Caenorhabditis elegans: one gene and its partners. The protein of the gene in region 2 purifies or fractionates together with the protein of the main gene of each other region. This does not show direct contact. Each region holds a gene or a part of one and is shown on either strand. Other genes may lie near its edges.

Region 1 (4,260 bases), on a different chromosome or scaffold from region 2:
GCCACTCATGAGTATAAACTGGTGAAACGAGGGATAGTTCATGTCAAAGGAAAAGGTATGTCAAACACAATTTTATATAAACTTTTAAATATTTTTGTTTTTCTATGTAGGTGAAGTGAATTGCTACTGGCTTAACGAGCACATACACAAGGACGAAGAAATCGAGGAATCGGGCACAATATCCCATCCCTTAGAGTCGTGAAAATTTTTTAAATCTATTTTTTTAATTCATATACGTTTCTCTAAAAATGAACGTTTAAATAATTTTGCAAAAGCGTTTTCTTACAAAAAAAAAGCCTTTTATGACAACATATCGAAATAACAATAGTTTTTCAAATAAATTCTTTGAATTTTGAAGATCATCCAACTATTTTTCCAAGGTCCACCGATGTTTGTATGCGCAAAAATTTAAAACTAAAAGTAAAAGGTTGAAAACGAAAAGACGGTGACAAGTGGTTAATTATTTGCTCAGAAAAACATAAAAGAGAACTAGAGTTTGTTATAAACGGACACTACAAACTATAAGGCCAGAAGTTGGAGAATTGTAAAAGTTTGAAGTGTGTAAAACTTTAAAAATATGTGAAAACTATAATGTGTTATTTTTCTTCCATATTTTCCTAGTCCAATGTTAAATAAAAAACAATCATTCGGTGCTCTACTAATAAACATTAGCAGAAATCATGATTTTTTTTCTTTTCGAGGCATAGTTAAATCATAGAATAGTAGTTGGTAAACTCAATTAAAACATGGTTTGATAAGAATTGATGATATGGGCAAGAACCAGAACGAGTTCAGGGTGCACTGGCCTATGAGGTTTGACTGATAACTCAGATGGTCGTATATATATATATACCTCCCTGAGAATAATACATGTTTTTTTATGATTGAATAACATTTTTGTTTCAACGTGTTGTATTTGTGTTCTCTCAGGTAATCAATTGATAGTTAAATACGGTATTTTATATGGTAATCTTGCCCAACATTTCTTAACTCTGAAGGTATTTATATCCGTTGTATTGTTTTTTTAAACAATTATAGATATCCAAAAGCTTGATTTTTTATTTATTATTTAGCAATGAAACATTTGCAAATAATTTTTTATTGAGCCGGGATATGAATTAATAAAATATAGAACTGGATTTTGAAATTCGGTGTTGTTCTTAGTTATGTAACGCTAAAATTTTTGTAGTGCTGAAATAAATATTTATGTGTACTTTTCCATATCAAAAGGTGATTTTTCAATAGGAATTTTCACCACTGATTTCATTGAAAAATGCTCCATTTTCTAACAGTTCATTTAACCGGGAACTTTCTCTTGTCCCTTATATCACTTGTCACTTGAATTTTTCTATCTTATCATTATAGTGTCCAGCACACAATACAGACAACTTTGAAGTTCGGTACGTCCTCACCTTTTCAAACAACAATAATATGTACTACCCCTTATGTTATTTTTGCTAATGTAATTCATATTGTTTCAAAAGGTGGCACAACATATTTGTAGTGTTTGCAAAACATTTGTGGCTGGTTTCAACGTTTTGTCAAAACTCCACCTACTTATTGTTCGACCCTCTTTATACCACGAGTCTCCACGAGAACAGGAGGGAGGTACAAAAAGAAACGAAGATTATATCATGTTTTTATTTTCTGCCACACATCTTCTGTTTCTTTAGAAACTTGTTTTCATCTTCGGACTCATCATTCTTTAAAGTGTTCATATTTTGAAACAGTTTTAAAACATTTTATAAATACTTTTAGCTTAAAGAATTAAAAAAAACCATTAAATATTTCAGAGTGAAATATGCGACTTGATTTTGATACGTTTGGATGTTTATATCTATTTGTAATTCCATTTGTGGTTCAACCATTTCTTTCGTGTTGGTTAACGCCAAATGTTAATGACGATAATGTTAATGGCTATGTGGACGAGCGGTTTGAGACCGTTTTAGAAGCATTCCGGTAATGAAAAACTTTTTTGATTTACTATCAAAAACTATTTTTGTTCCAGACGAAATTTTGGACAAGGAGAAGAACGTGAAGGTGCTGCGTTTGCAGTTTATTACAAAGGAAAAGAAGTAGTAAATCTATGGGGTGGATATGCTGACAAAGAGTCGGGAAGAAAATGGTCAGAAAACACCAAAAGTGTGATGTTTTCTGCATCAAAGGTGAGTGCTCATCAGAAAATTTGTATTATGCACACAATTTTTCAGGCCGTTTGTTCTATTGTGATAGCTGTAATGGTTGACAGGGGTCTTCTAAACTATGCAGATCGTGTGGTAGATTATTGGCCAGAGTACGGGCGATATGGTAAAAACGCGACTACCATAGAAGACGTACTTTCTCACAAAGCAGGACTTCCGTATCTCAGTGAAGATATCTCAATAGAAGACGTCAAAAATGGATTGAAAATCATGGAAAAAGTAGAAAACTCTGTTCCAGCTTGGACTCCTGGCACCGCGTCCGGTTATCATGCGGTTACTTTTGGGTTCATTTTAGATGGATTGGTCAGAAAAGCAGATCCACGTGGCAGAAATATAAAGAGATTTTTTGAGGAGGAAATTGCTAGACCAAACGGTGAGTCACTATAACACTAGAAATATTGAATTTTTTTCTCAGATCTCGACATTCAAATCGGTGCCCAAAAATCAGAGGCTCCATATCTCGCTCGTCTCACAACACCGTCTTTATGGGAATTCACGCGTGATATAATAAAGGACCCAAAAATTCTTATTATGCTTGGACTTATGTATATCCGCTTTGATACACTTGTTCATAAAATGAGATCAAATCCAGATTGGCTACTCGTTAATTACGTAAGTGTTTCTTAATGTTGTTGAACAGGAAACACAATTTGAAACTGTTTAGGATACTATGGTATTAAACGATCCCGAGATTGTTTCTCTAAATCTTCCCGCTGTAACCGCTATTGGAAATGTGAGAGATGTTTCAAGGTTGTTATCAATGATCGTTGAAAAGGTAATTGGAACATTGAATCTCAGACTTGAAAAATAGTTTTTACAGGAGCTAATATCAAATACCACACTCCTCGAACTTTCCCGGCCTACGTTAAACAGCTGGCATTTCGAAAAAGTAACTATCTGGCCGGTTATCAAAGGGCATGGGTTCTTCTATGAAAAACACCCATTGATACCTGTAAGAAAGTTGAAATTGTAGTAATTCGAAAAATAATAGAACAATGCTTTAGGAAGCCTTCACATTTGGCCATCCAGGTTACGGTGGACAGTTTGTTCACATGGATCCAGAATCTCAAATTTCAATTACATATTTATCAAATGGTTTGAAAACTGGCACTGGAGAGCTTTGCGGAACATATATGAGATTACTGAACGAAGTATACAATAGTTTGAGGAGAATATAATCTGAAGAGAATATAGTTTCATTTTTCTAACAGTTACCTCACTTCTTTTCATGTTTGTATATTTAAAAAAAAACAACACAACAATGCTTAATTCGTCAAATATATGATCTCAACCTTTTCTCATCAATGCCTTGCTCCTTCGCGTGACATGAATATTTAACTTCCAAATATTAACTCTACCTTTTATGAAAATGTCTCAGATATAACCCATTTATTTATTTTATCGACAAGTATCAGAACGAATTGGCTAAAAACTCGAAAGTATGTAGTATTGAGTAAAATTGATTATTTATTGTCAATTTAATGTTCATGTCCTTATTGAACCGCCACCTGAAACAAAATAAATTCTGTAGAGTCAATAGTGGTGGTTTTACCTCAGCTAACTTGCTGAGTTTCTGAGCAACACACTCATTAAATCGTGTTGCATGGTCAGGTGATATGAATTTCAAAAGTTCACGAGCATTTCGATAGTATTTAGTGTGAAGGGAGATCTGAAAGCTAAACATTATACGGTTATTTCTAAATCAAGTGCATACTTTCGTATAATCCCCGTTCATGCAATCAGTATGGGACGAAGCAATTCTCCATCCTTTCATAGTCAGCTCTAAAGTGTATGGGCTTCCTTCCTGAGTTTTCACATTAACAAAAATCAGGTCACTAGTTCTGGGGAGCATTTCCGAAACACTGATGTCTTGAACTTCATGTGCTAATTCGTGGACTGCAGCAATTGCTTCCAGTTCCAGCGGTCCAACGTCATCATCTGACGGAATAACTCCACCTTCCTAAAATTATTAATGAAATCCTTTGAGACAAATATCATGAAAAATGTTGAAAACAAAAAGTTTTTTCAACAAAGTGGGTAAAAAGTGGGCAAGAGGGGC
Region 2 (4,130 bases):
CGAGAGATTTTATGAGGTTTCTGGTAAAAAACGATGATGATGAAAGATTGTGTCGAAACTGGTTTTTTGTATAAACGAATGAATGGCGGGAACAGAGAACAAAAGTAGATCACGATATAAAAAAAAACAGTTCACAGGAAAAGCGTTTGTGGAAAAAACATTTGGCGGAGCGATTCAAAACAAAACCACATAGTTTTTTTTAAATCCATAATTAATTTTATTGTTTTTTAAAAAATTTATTTCCAATAGAATTTCAAAATCCGGATAAAGAAGAAATAAAAAAAAATAATAAAAAAATAAAAAAAGTTCACACCGTCTTTGACGACAAAATGCAGACTGGGTTACTGTACAGGAAAACTTTTTCTTGACTTTTTTGCACTTTTAATGTCATTAATTGCAAATTTCGCTAGTTTAAAAACACGGAAAGTTGTTAATATATTTTTTTAAAAATTATATAAAACATTTTATTTTTTGTTTGTTAAACTTTTAATTTCTCGAAAATGTTCTGTGAATTTAATGAAACACCGAAGCTGACGACGTTTGTGGATACGGTAATTTTTTATTCGAAATTAAATATTCTTGAGCAAAATTCAACGTAATAAGAAGACAAGTAGCAGAATGATAATATTTCCAACATTTTGGAAAGGAGAATTTCCAAAATTCAAATTCAAATTTTCAGTGGTCGATGGCTCGGGAAAACATAAATTCTTGACTCTAGAAGAACTATTCCACATAGCCTCATAGTCATCGGCTCGATTATCATTACAGGTTCGTGGAGGCTGAAAAAAACAAGAAAAGTGATGAGCAATTGAATTTAACGAAATGCTCACTGTTATTGTCTGACACTTTGGATCACATAGGTGGCACAGGCGGATAGTACATCCGACATGCATGTACTTCATATCTGGAAGATTGAAATGAAATATTGTTGATTTGAAAGAGATAACAGAGAAAAAGAGAGGAAGTTTTTCGGATTGGGTTTGTTGTTGATTGGGGGTGCGTTCGTTTTTTATTTGTTTGATTTTCTAAAAATAAGCAAGGAAATCTTGAAAACCTTCGTGGTAGCAAAGTTGTTCAACAAAAAACAACCGGAGACTAAAATCAAACTAACTTTTCTGTCTTACAGCCATCCATCCAATTGCTGCAGCTCTATTAAATGATGTATAAACTGGAGATGTTAGTATTGCTTTTTCAATTGTACATCCATCATCTCTTAATATGTAAACAGACATATTTGGTGATCCAATCCAACAACTTTCCACTCGCATCGCGTACTTGGCTGAAAATGGTTACAATGAAGCTTTACAGTACCGGCAAATATTATATTGGTTCTTGGTTATGCTTAGAATTTCTTGCCAAAAACAGTATTTATTCAACTTACTTGTATCGCAAACCCATTTATAACAAACTCTTGTTGACCATGATAAGGTGTCGTTTAATTTAAACTGAGGACTTGAACATGTATCTCTGAAATACAAGAAGTTTGAATTCATGTACCATGATCAAAACTAACCAAACAGTTTGGAAGTAACTTTTTTGATATTTTTGAAATTTAATTTTTTTAAAATTTAGTTGTTTGAAATTATAGGCAAAAAATTTTACTTCCATAAAAACTGAAAAGTCTAAACTAAAAGAACCGAAAGAAATGAAACATAGGTACCGATCCCAGCCTGACTTATGCAATGTTAGCCGACATCTTGGATGTCCTGTAGATGTGATCGTTGTCTCATTTTCATAGATCATATTTAGTACTTCGACACGAACTCCAATTTTCTGATTCATAAGTTCACTATATTCACATTTGATTGTGGTCTGTAAGGGTTAGAGAAAATTGTGATATTTTCAGATTTTCTTTTTCGATATTTGCCAACACCTTGAAAAAAATTTTCCGAAAAATCGAAAACATAATACAGATTTTTTAACAGATTTATTTAGTTTTTTTGACCCGCACTGGGTATATTTCGATCAAATAATTACTGGTGCTACTCCACGTTTAATTGTAAGGGCGCATGAATTTATTCGGATGGGACTTGTCAAAACAAGTTATTGCAGTACATTAAATTTATCCAATAGTCGAAAAAATCAATTAAAAGCAAAAATGTCAAAACTTACAGAAAATATCACTAAAACGCAAAATATCCTATTATATTCCACCATCATATTGAATGCATTAAGCTGATAGATTTTTTAAAGATCTGAAAACTTTAGAATGAAAAAATAGGCTAACATAAATTCTAAACAAATGCACCAAAATGCCAAAAGAGGACGAGAAGAAATAGGAGAATGCATTGAAATGAAAAGAGGATGAGCTGATGATTTATGGGCTTCACAGTAGTGAATTGGAAAGGGCAAAGAGTAGATAACTAATGTGGGAAGACATTGTTCAGAAAGGAGAACGGAGAAAATGTGCAATGGGCTTTTTACTATAAGTGAACTCATAATGAAGTTCAAAACTACGATGAGCTATTACCAAATGAGTCATATGCGGCTTAAGTTTTTTTTGGATAAATAATTAAAAATTCTGTGGCGAGCTTCTCAAGTTTAACTTGCTGATAAATGTAAAAGTGGATTAGACAAATTTAAAAGTTTAAAAACTGAAAGTATGCATTCAGAAAATTGGCAATTTACCAAAACGTTGACTGAAAAATTTTTGCAAATTCTAGTTTTTGAATTCGAATATAATATTCAGTCATGTTATTGTAGGTCAAGCATGACTGATTATCATAATTAAATTCAGAATCTAGATTTTTTCAAAAATGTTCAATTAAATTTTTGGTAAATTGCCTTTTTTTTTTTGAAAAAATATAGAAGAAGAAGTATTGAGAGAATATTACTGCAGGTTCTGACATCTATAATTTTCACATAGAAACAATTGAAAAACAATGGAAACTTGAATTAACTTAGTAAATACAATTTTCCAAAACTCTGATATCTGGACGAATGTTGGCAAAAGCAGAGATATCTGATAAATTTAGGTTTTTTTTTCAAAAATTGGAAAAATTATATCTCGAAAACGGGATTGAAAAATTGTGTTTGAAAAATTATAAATTGGAAGTTTCGACATTTGTTTTTCAAAAAAAAAAAAGCAGAAGTTGGTCATTTTTCTGAAAAATGAGTTGTGAAAATTGTAGACGGCTAATATTGTTTTTCAGCCTTGAATGGTACTCCGTTCTATTAAAACTAACAAAAATTAATTTTTGATAATTTTCATTCAAAAAGCGTTGCGAGCTCTGTTTAGAATATTTTTGAAAAATCCGAAAATGAAAAACTCAAAAACCAGCCAAAACTCAAAAGATGCTTCCTCATATAAAACAAAGCGGTTCTGAAATTGGACAATTTGGCCTCATCTTTAGAATTGAGCGCTTAAACTTGGTAGAAAGACATTTCCGGGGAAAGAAGAAAGTCCTACTAGATGTGTGTGCTTGTTGCTGTTTTTGAATAATGATAGTTGGGAGAGCAGAGATGGGATGTCCCATGGGATCATAGAAGTCTCAGGGCTTGTCACGAAGAAGACTTTGTTAAAAGAAGGATAACAGAACAAGAAAAAGAAAAAGATATGGAGATTTTTGACGGATTTTTGAAAGATTCAATGTGAAGTTTCGTTTTCCTTATTTATGTTTCCGTGTTTTCAAACCTTTTTCTCCACAAAAGGTAGGGTTTCTATGGTAGGACCGCCGCACTTTGAAAAATTAAATTACTGAAATCGAAAAAAAAAATCAGTGCGCCATTCATCAAGGTGTGATAGCAATGATATGTGCTAAATCATTTTTAAAACATTTAATAAAAACTGCAAAATGTTCATATATCGTGAACTTAAAATTATAAATAAATTTTAAAAAAACATAAACGTTTTCACAACTGTTTTAATTTATTTCCGAATATTTCAAATAGTAAAATGAGACGAGTTTCAATAAATTCTTTTCTAGAACCGGTGAGTTTTATTACAGGGGTTTTCCAACAGTTAATCGAATTTTTCAGAATTCTCCAAATGTTCCAAATCGTGTGACCATACCGGACGGTGATCTACGTCGAAACTCAGATGATACGGCAACTGATAGAATTTCGCTAACAAATCAACTAGGAAAATCTGCATATTCAACAACTACAGAAGATTCGATTGATTCTGAAAC
Region 3 (5,320 bases), on a different chromosome or scaffold from region 2:
GAGAAATATATATAATTTTAGACATTTTTTCAGATATCGAGTTGTCTCCCTCTGTCCACCATGTTATCACTATAGTATTCCAAATTCTCGTGTTGGATTCTACATGTCACCACTTTTCAGAGCAATTGATGCAAAACCCGGAGATTTCAGATCATTTGCCAAATGGTTGGGTTGATTTTTAAAAAATTAAATATTGAATTAATCAGTTTTCAGTCCAATAATTGTTCACTCATTTTCAATGAACGGAGTACGCGGATTAATTTCATTTTGGAAATGGACAGAAGCAGAGGAAAAACCACAATTAAGAGAACGAATTAAAGGAATTATTTTCGATAGGTGAGTTTTATATTGAAATTGAACTTTGGTTTCAGTTATTCTTAAATTTTTATTTTTCAGTGCCCCATCGCGCCCATATGGAAAACAAGACGCTACGGCAATGGTCATTTCAACTCCTCCAATTGATGCATTTGAACGATGGATTAGTGAGCAAACGAGAATTTCTGTGCTTACTTGGTTCTTGAATCTACGAGCTTACTTGGTTCGTTTTTCATAATTGAGAAAACACTATTTAAACTTATTTTTTGGAAGTTGTGACTATTTTTATTGCTCAAATATACTAAAACTGGTCTGAAAAGACCGAAATTCGAGACCTCAAAAATGTCAAAAAAATTTAATTGCAGGTTTTTTGAAAAAAATAATAAAATTTTGCTAAAATCTGAAAATTCAGCTAGAATACAGTATTATTATTTTTTAAAATTTTTGAATTAAGTATTTTGGTCGTTTATCTCGCTTTACTTCATTGATTTAAGAACATTTCAAGTCGATAAGCACCCAACAATTACCAAAATTGAATTCGAATTTAAATGTTTCTAAATCAACGAACTAACGCGAGATAAACTACCAAAATATGCAAAAAGAATGATAATTTAATAAAAACTGTATTCCAGTTGCTACGGCAAGGAAAAATTGGCGAAATTTCAGATTGTAACTAATTGTAAGGTTACCTTTTTTTCGAAATTTTGACCCGTCTATAAAAATGTTTGGAAATTTTTTCTTAATAAAATTCGGTTCTTTCAATCCAGTTTTAGACAATCTCTTAGCAAAAATCAGTAAACCTCTTTCATTAAATACGAAGAAAAACCCCATATTTGAATTTTCAAAAACCTCATTCAAATTCGTTTTTCAGCAAATCCCACTTCTTACGATGGTTCCATTTTTACGTTCGTTTGTGTCAATCTACTATTATCTTCAAACACATATTGCCCTGCCACGTGATCAACTGTATTTATACTCTAAAGCTGACACTATGATCAAGGCGAAGTATGTACAATTTATTACGTTGATTGATCAATTTATGAGATTTTTCAGACATGTCGAGAAATTCATTGAAAAACAAAAAGAAAAAGGAAATTCAGTGACCGCTATTGATTTCGTCGACTCTGAGCATGTTGCACACATTCGAACACATCCAAAAGATTACCGTACAGCTTGCCTGAACTTTGTTAGACACGTCGAAGCGTCGTATAAATGAAGAAATGAGGAATAATTGTTAATTAACGGGTCATTCAATTTCTGTACCTTCTTAATGCCTTGTTGACTCGCTTTTCTCAGTTTGGAAATGGAGTAGACTAACTGAAAATATTGAATTGACATTTCATCCGAAACTTCAGTAGATTCAAGATTTCCGGGTTTTTGTTCAAATTTAGATTGCCAATAAACATTTTAGAGTTTGCAATTTTGTTTCTTGTCTCTGAAATAGTAAAAGCGTGAAAACAAAATAACTACAACGTGGTCTTCGTTTTTCTCCGTAAAATCAATATCCAATCACTCGTTAAGAACATTGATAAGAAGAACGTTCAAGTTGTGCCCTCCCCGATAACAAAATGATTAGACGCAGTTTTGGTACGTTTTCCCTGCTTTTCCATTCTTTCTGATGTTTTTCCGAAGATTATCTTTGATAACGAACGGTTTTTAAGTGTATCTGACAAGGATGAATGGGTGGTTGCAGTGGTTTTTGCCTGAATTTAAATAATACCAATGAAGACTATATGTACCTTTTGAGTTGAAACAAATCCAAAATGTGAACATCCACATTACTCTGAAGAGATTTTCCCATTTTTCTCATGTTGATTTCTCCTTGACCAACAAAAAAGTTGTAAAAATCTGCTATTCACCAAAATGTGATTTGAAAAAAACTTATTATTTACAAAAATCAAAAACTATTAAGAAATATACTTAAAAGTTTTTCTTGCTCAGTTTCCAATTTTCATGATTTTGGAAGTCGACCAAAATAATTTTAATGCAAGTTTTGAACCTTTTTTTTTAATAGTGCTCTGAACATTCAAGATGCTCTTAATTTCTCAAAAAGTCCAAATTTCAAAAATTTGTCTATTCACCAAAACTTTTACTACGTACTATAGTAGTATAATGACATGTGTACTTTTGAGATTTTGTTCTTCGTAATGAGAATGTATAGTCATCACTCTGTCAATCAAAAAAATTGAGGTTTGAGCAAATAGATTCTATAGTTTATCGTATGTCACATTTAAATTTTAGTTCCTAACTAGGAGCTAATTAAAAAAAACCTTGGCGTATGATATTCTGATATTTTATCAGCCAGCGGGACGAAGACTAACCAGTAGCTTTGGTTATACTCATAGGTAAATCTTTGATCAACAAACGAATCGCAATGGGTTGACCCTCAACGGCTAGTTGGCTGCTCAGCCAATTCTCAAAAAATTATTTGTTATCACAGACTAGTTCTGTTTTTTTTCAGTTACTTGTGTTCTTATCTCGAATAGTCCGCTTATATTTGCGTATTAGACCTTTTTTAGTTTCTGAAAAAACGTCTGGAAAGTTACGTGGCGCCGATGTCTGACCATAATTTCATCTTCATCTCCAACTTTTCTCGAACATGCTACAGTTTTATACTTTTTTCAGGCTCGTTTCTGTTACATAAAATGTCAAGACCAAAAGCAATTGTGAGACATGGGAAGCGTGACACAATCGTTGCATTACTTGGATGGGCGGGAGCTGTTGACAGAAATGTGGAGAAATATGCAGGGATTTATCAAAAGAAAGGGTATGTTGAAGTGAGAAAATGTGAAAATGTTTGTCAAATTTTGTTATGCTCTCAACTCAGAAACCTAGGTTTTATAAAATTGCACCCGTTTGTAATCTTCAGGTACACAACAGTTCAATTCACAGCTCTTGCGGCTGTTAAAGGATGGGGAACTAAGGTGAGCAGAAGAAAAATATAATGAAAAAATATAATGCACATTTTGACGAAAATTCCAAATAAGGGTCGACAAAATGTCAGCCCATTTCGTGCAATTCACAATTATTCGTTTAAGTTTGGCCTGAAATAGTTTTGCTATACGGTAGTAGACTAACTTTGGATATAACACTCTACCAGTTAACATTTGGAATACGCAGTAATAGAATATATATTCCAATAAAACTAAAAAAGAACTGCCAATGCAGAATAAGTGGAGCCTAATAAATAGAATGCAGTAGAATTAGTAAAAATTGGAAAATAATTTAAGACTGTTTTCTATGAAACATATTGCTCGAGGGTACTTTCAATTCTCAATTTATCCAAAATTCTGAAATCGGTCTACAAAAGTTTTCTATTTCACATAAAGCAGTTATAATTTTAAAGAATTTCAGGATGGTAGAAATGTGGATCATCTAGCAAGCACACTTGACTCTGTCCTTATAAATCCTTCAAATCGTCTTGTATTTCATGTATTCTCTATGAATGGATTTATTGCACTCACTTCTCTTGATTCACAATTTCCAGAATTAAAAGCAATTGAAAAATGCGATGGAATATTTATGGATTCATGTCCAGCATGCTTCTCTTTTTCAATTGAGAATATGCAAAAACATGCATTGGTCATGAATCATGTTTATGATCAATTGGTAAGCACTAGTTTTTAAAAACTAATAGTAGTTGGATACATAGTCGATCCATTTTTTGCCTCACAGCTTTTAGCTTTGGGATGATCATGGGGACTTCCACAAACGGCTTCGAACTATACAGTACTCTAGAATGGGTTAACGTTGAGAAGAGCCTCTCACTTACAAAAATGAAATTGAGAGCCATTTCAATTTTTCAGATCAAAAACTCGAATTTCGTACTTGGAAACTTTTATAAAGTTTACAAGAAATGGGAAACAGCAAGGTTTGGATATCAAATGATTATGGTTAGTTGTATTTTTTTTGTCTACCTCAAAATTTTACCTAACGCTTTTCAAATTTCCAATGTATCATTTCTGCAGGACACAATGTCTATAAAAGCTGGATTGTGTACAATTGAAGAGGCAAATCCGTTCTTTTATCTATTGAATCATCCACATCTTCCACCAATCTTAACTTCTATTTTTTCCGATAATGACATTGTTTGTTCTGCTGAGTAAGTATTATTAGTTCATGCTTTAAAAAAGTATTCAAATATATTTATCTTTCAGTGAAATCAACTTATTCAACGAGTGTGCTGCAAAGAAAAGTGATAAGAAGAGACAAATCATGGCGACTAGGCTAAAAGATACTGCACACGTCGAACACTTCAGAAAGTATCCGAAATTATATTTGGAGAAAATGGACGAGTTTTTGCAAAAAGTGGAAAAACTTAGAAATGGCGGGAATTCAAAGCTATAAAACATGATGCTAAATAAATGATACATTTTTAAATTTTTGTTACATGCAGCCACTGTTGTCAGACATATTTTAACTCATTGTTAGGCGATCTACTCCTTAGGAAACCGGCAATCAAGTAGCCGGTTGCCGAAATACGAAAAGGTGTACGTTACTGTAATTTCACACCTGTTAATGTGGCTTTTTAAAATTGAGTTTTCATAATTTTGCTCATGTTTTGTTAATCAAAAACAATGACATTTTACATTTGTCTCTACCTGCAGCTACACAAGCTTCAAGATGCTCAAAAGTTTAAAAGTGTGGCACTCAAGTAGACACTATCCAGTTGATTGGAGCTTTCTTGAAGGAATTTATGGAAGGATTCAATCTGCTGCAAAATAGTTTACTGGTTGGTGTAATTTCACAGCTAGGTTACGGTAGTTGAAACTTCAGCAAAGTTGTCATAATCTTCAAAAATTTCATTTCAAACATGTCACGTAACTCTTACCAAAACGGCATTTCAATATCCTTATTTTTCCAAGTGATCTTTGCTCGTATTAAATTTACCTTTTCGAATCATTTCACATTTTTTAAACAATTACATCGCTTAAAGGATAAGTTTAAAACAATAAATCGGACAAAAAGATCAGTTCGATGAATGATTCCGAAACAAAAGCATTTC

Evidence for each region.
Region 1: the proteins of cutl-19 (region 2) and lact-6 fractionate together in Caenorhabditis elegans (co-fractionation; one large-scale study listed by BioGRID). This does not show direct contact.
Region 3: the proteins of cutl-19 (region 2) and T10B11.5 fractionate together in Caenorhabditis elegans (co-fractionation; one large-scale study listed by BioGRID). This does not show direct contact.

Annotation. Positions count from the first base shown.
Region 1 is NC_003282.8:17,428,919-17,433,178, reverse strand, and holds lact-6 (Beta-lactamase-related domain-containing protein), read left to right. Parts: upstream 1-1,791; 5' UTR 1,792-1,801; coding exon 1,802-1,959; intron 1,960-2,008; coding exon 2,009-2,165; intron 2,166-2,210; coding exon 2,211-2,574; intron 2,575-2,616; coding exon 2,617-2,813; intron 2,814-2,865; coding exon 2,866-2,976; intron 2,977-2,989; exon of another isoform or gene 2,990-3,010; intron 3,011-3,021; coding exon 3,022-3,153; intron 3,154-3,205; coding exon 3,206-3,379; 3' UTR 3,380-3,582; downstream 3,583-4,260. Other genes in the region: Receptor-type guanylate cyclase gcy-27, read left to right, coding at 1-55, 111-202; C06A12.3 (GSKIP domain-containing protein), read right to left, coding at 3,695-3,709, 3,754-3,870, 3,916-4,161.
Region 2 is NC_003281.10:5,215,410-5,219,539, forward strand, and holds cutl-19 (Cuticlin-like protein 19), read right to left. Parts: upstream 2,203-4,130; 5' UTR 2,158-2,202; coding exon 2,113-2,157; intron 1,813-2,112; coding exon 1,661-1,812; intron 1,468-1,660; coding exon 1,382-1,467; intron 1,280-1,381; coding exon 1,112-1,279; intron 905-1,111; coding exon 831-904; intron 780-830; coding exon 591-779; 3' UTR 542-590; downstream 1-541. Other genes in the region: ZC155.2 (Histone H2A/H2B/H3 domain-containing protein), read left to right, coding at 3,896-3,931, 3,979-4,130.
Region 3 is NC_003279.8:6,939,591-6,944,910, reverse strand, and holds T10B11.5 (DUF1273 family protein), read left to right. Parts: upstream 1-1,833; 5' UTR 1,834-1,902; intron 1,903-2,940; 5' UTR 2,941-2,960; coding exon 2,961-3,082; intron 3,083-3,184; coding exon 3,185-3,239; intron 3,240-3,669; coding exon 3,670-3,924; intron 3,925-4,121; coding exon 4,122-4,208; intron 4,209-4,283; coding exon 4,284-4,417; intron 4,418-4,472; coding exon 4,473-4,662; 3' UTR 4,663-4,696; downstream 4,697-5,320. Other genes in the region: T10B11.6 (Transmembrane protein 53), read left to right, coding at 34-165, 214-336, 397-538, 1,187-1,320, 1,369-1,531; T10B11.4 (Ubiquitin-like domain-containing protein), read left to right, coding at 5,293-5,320.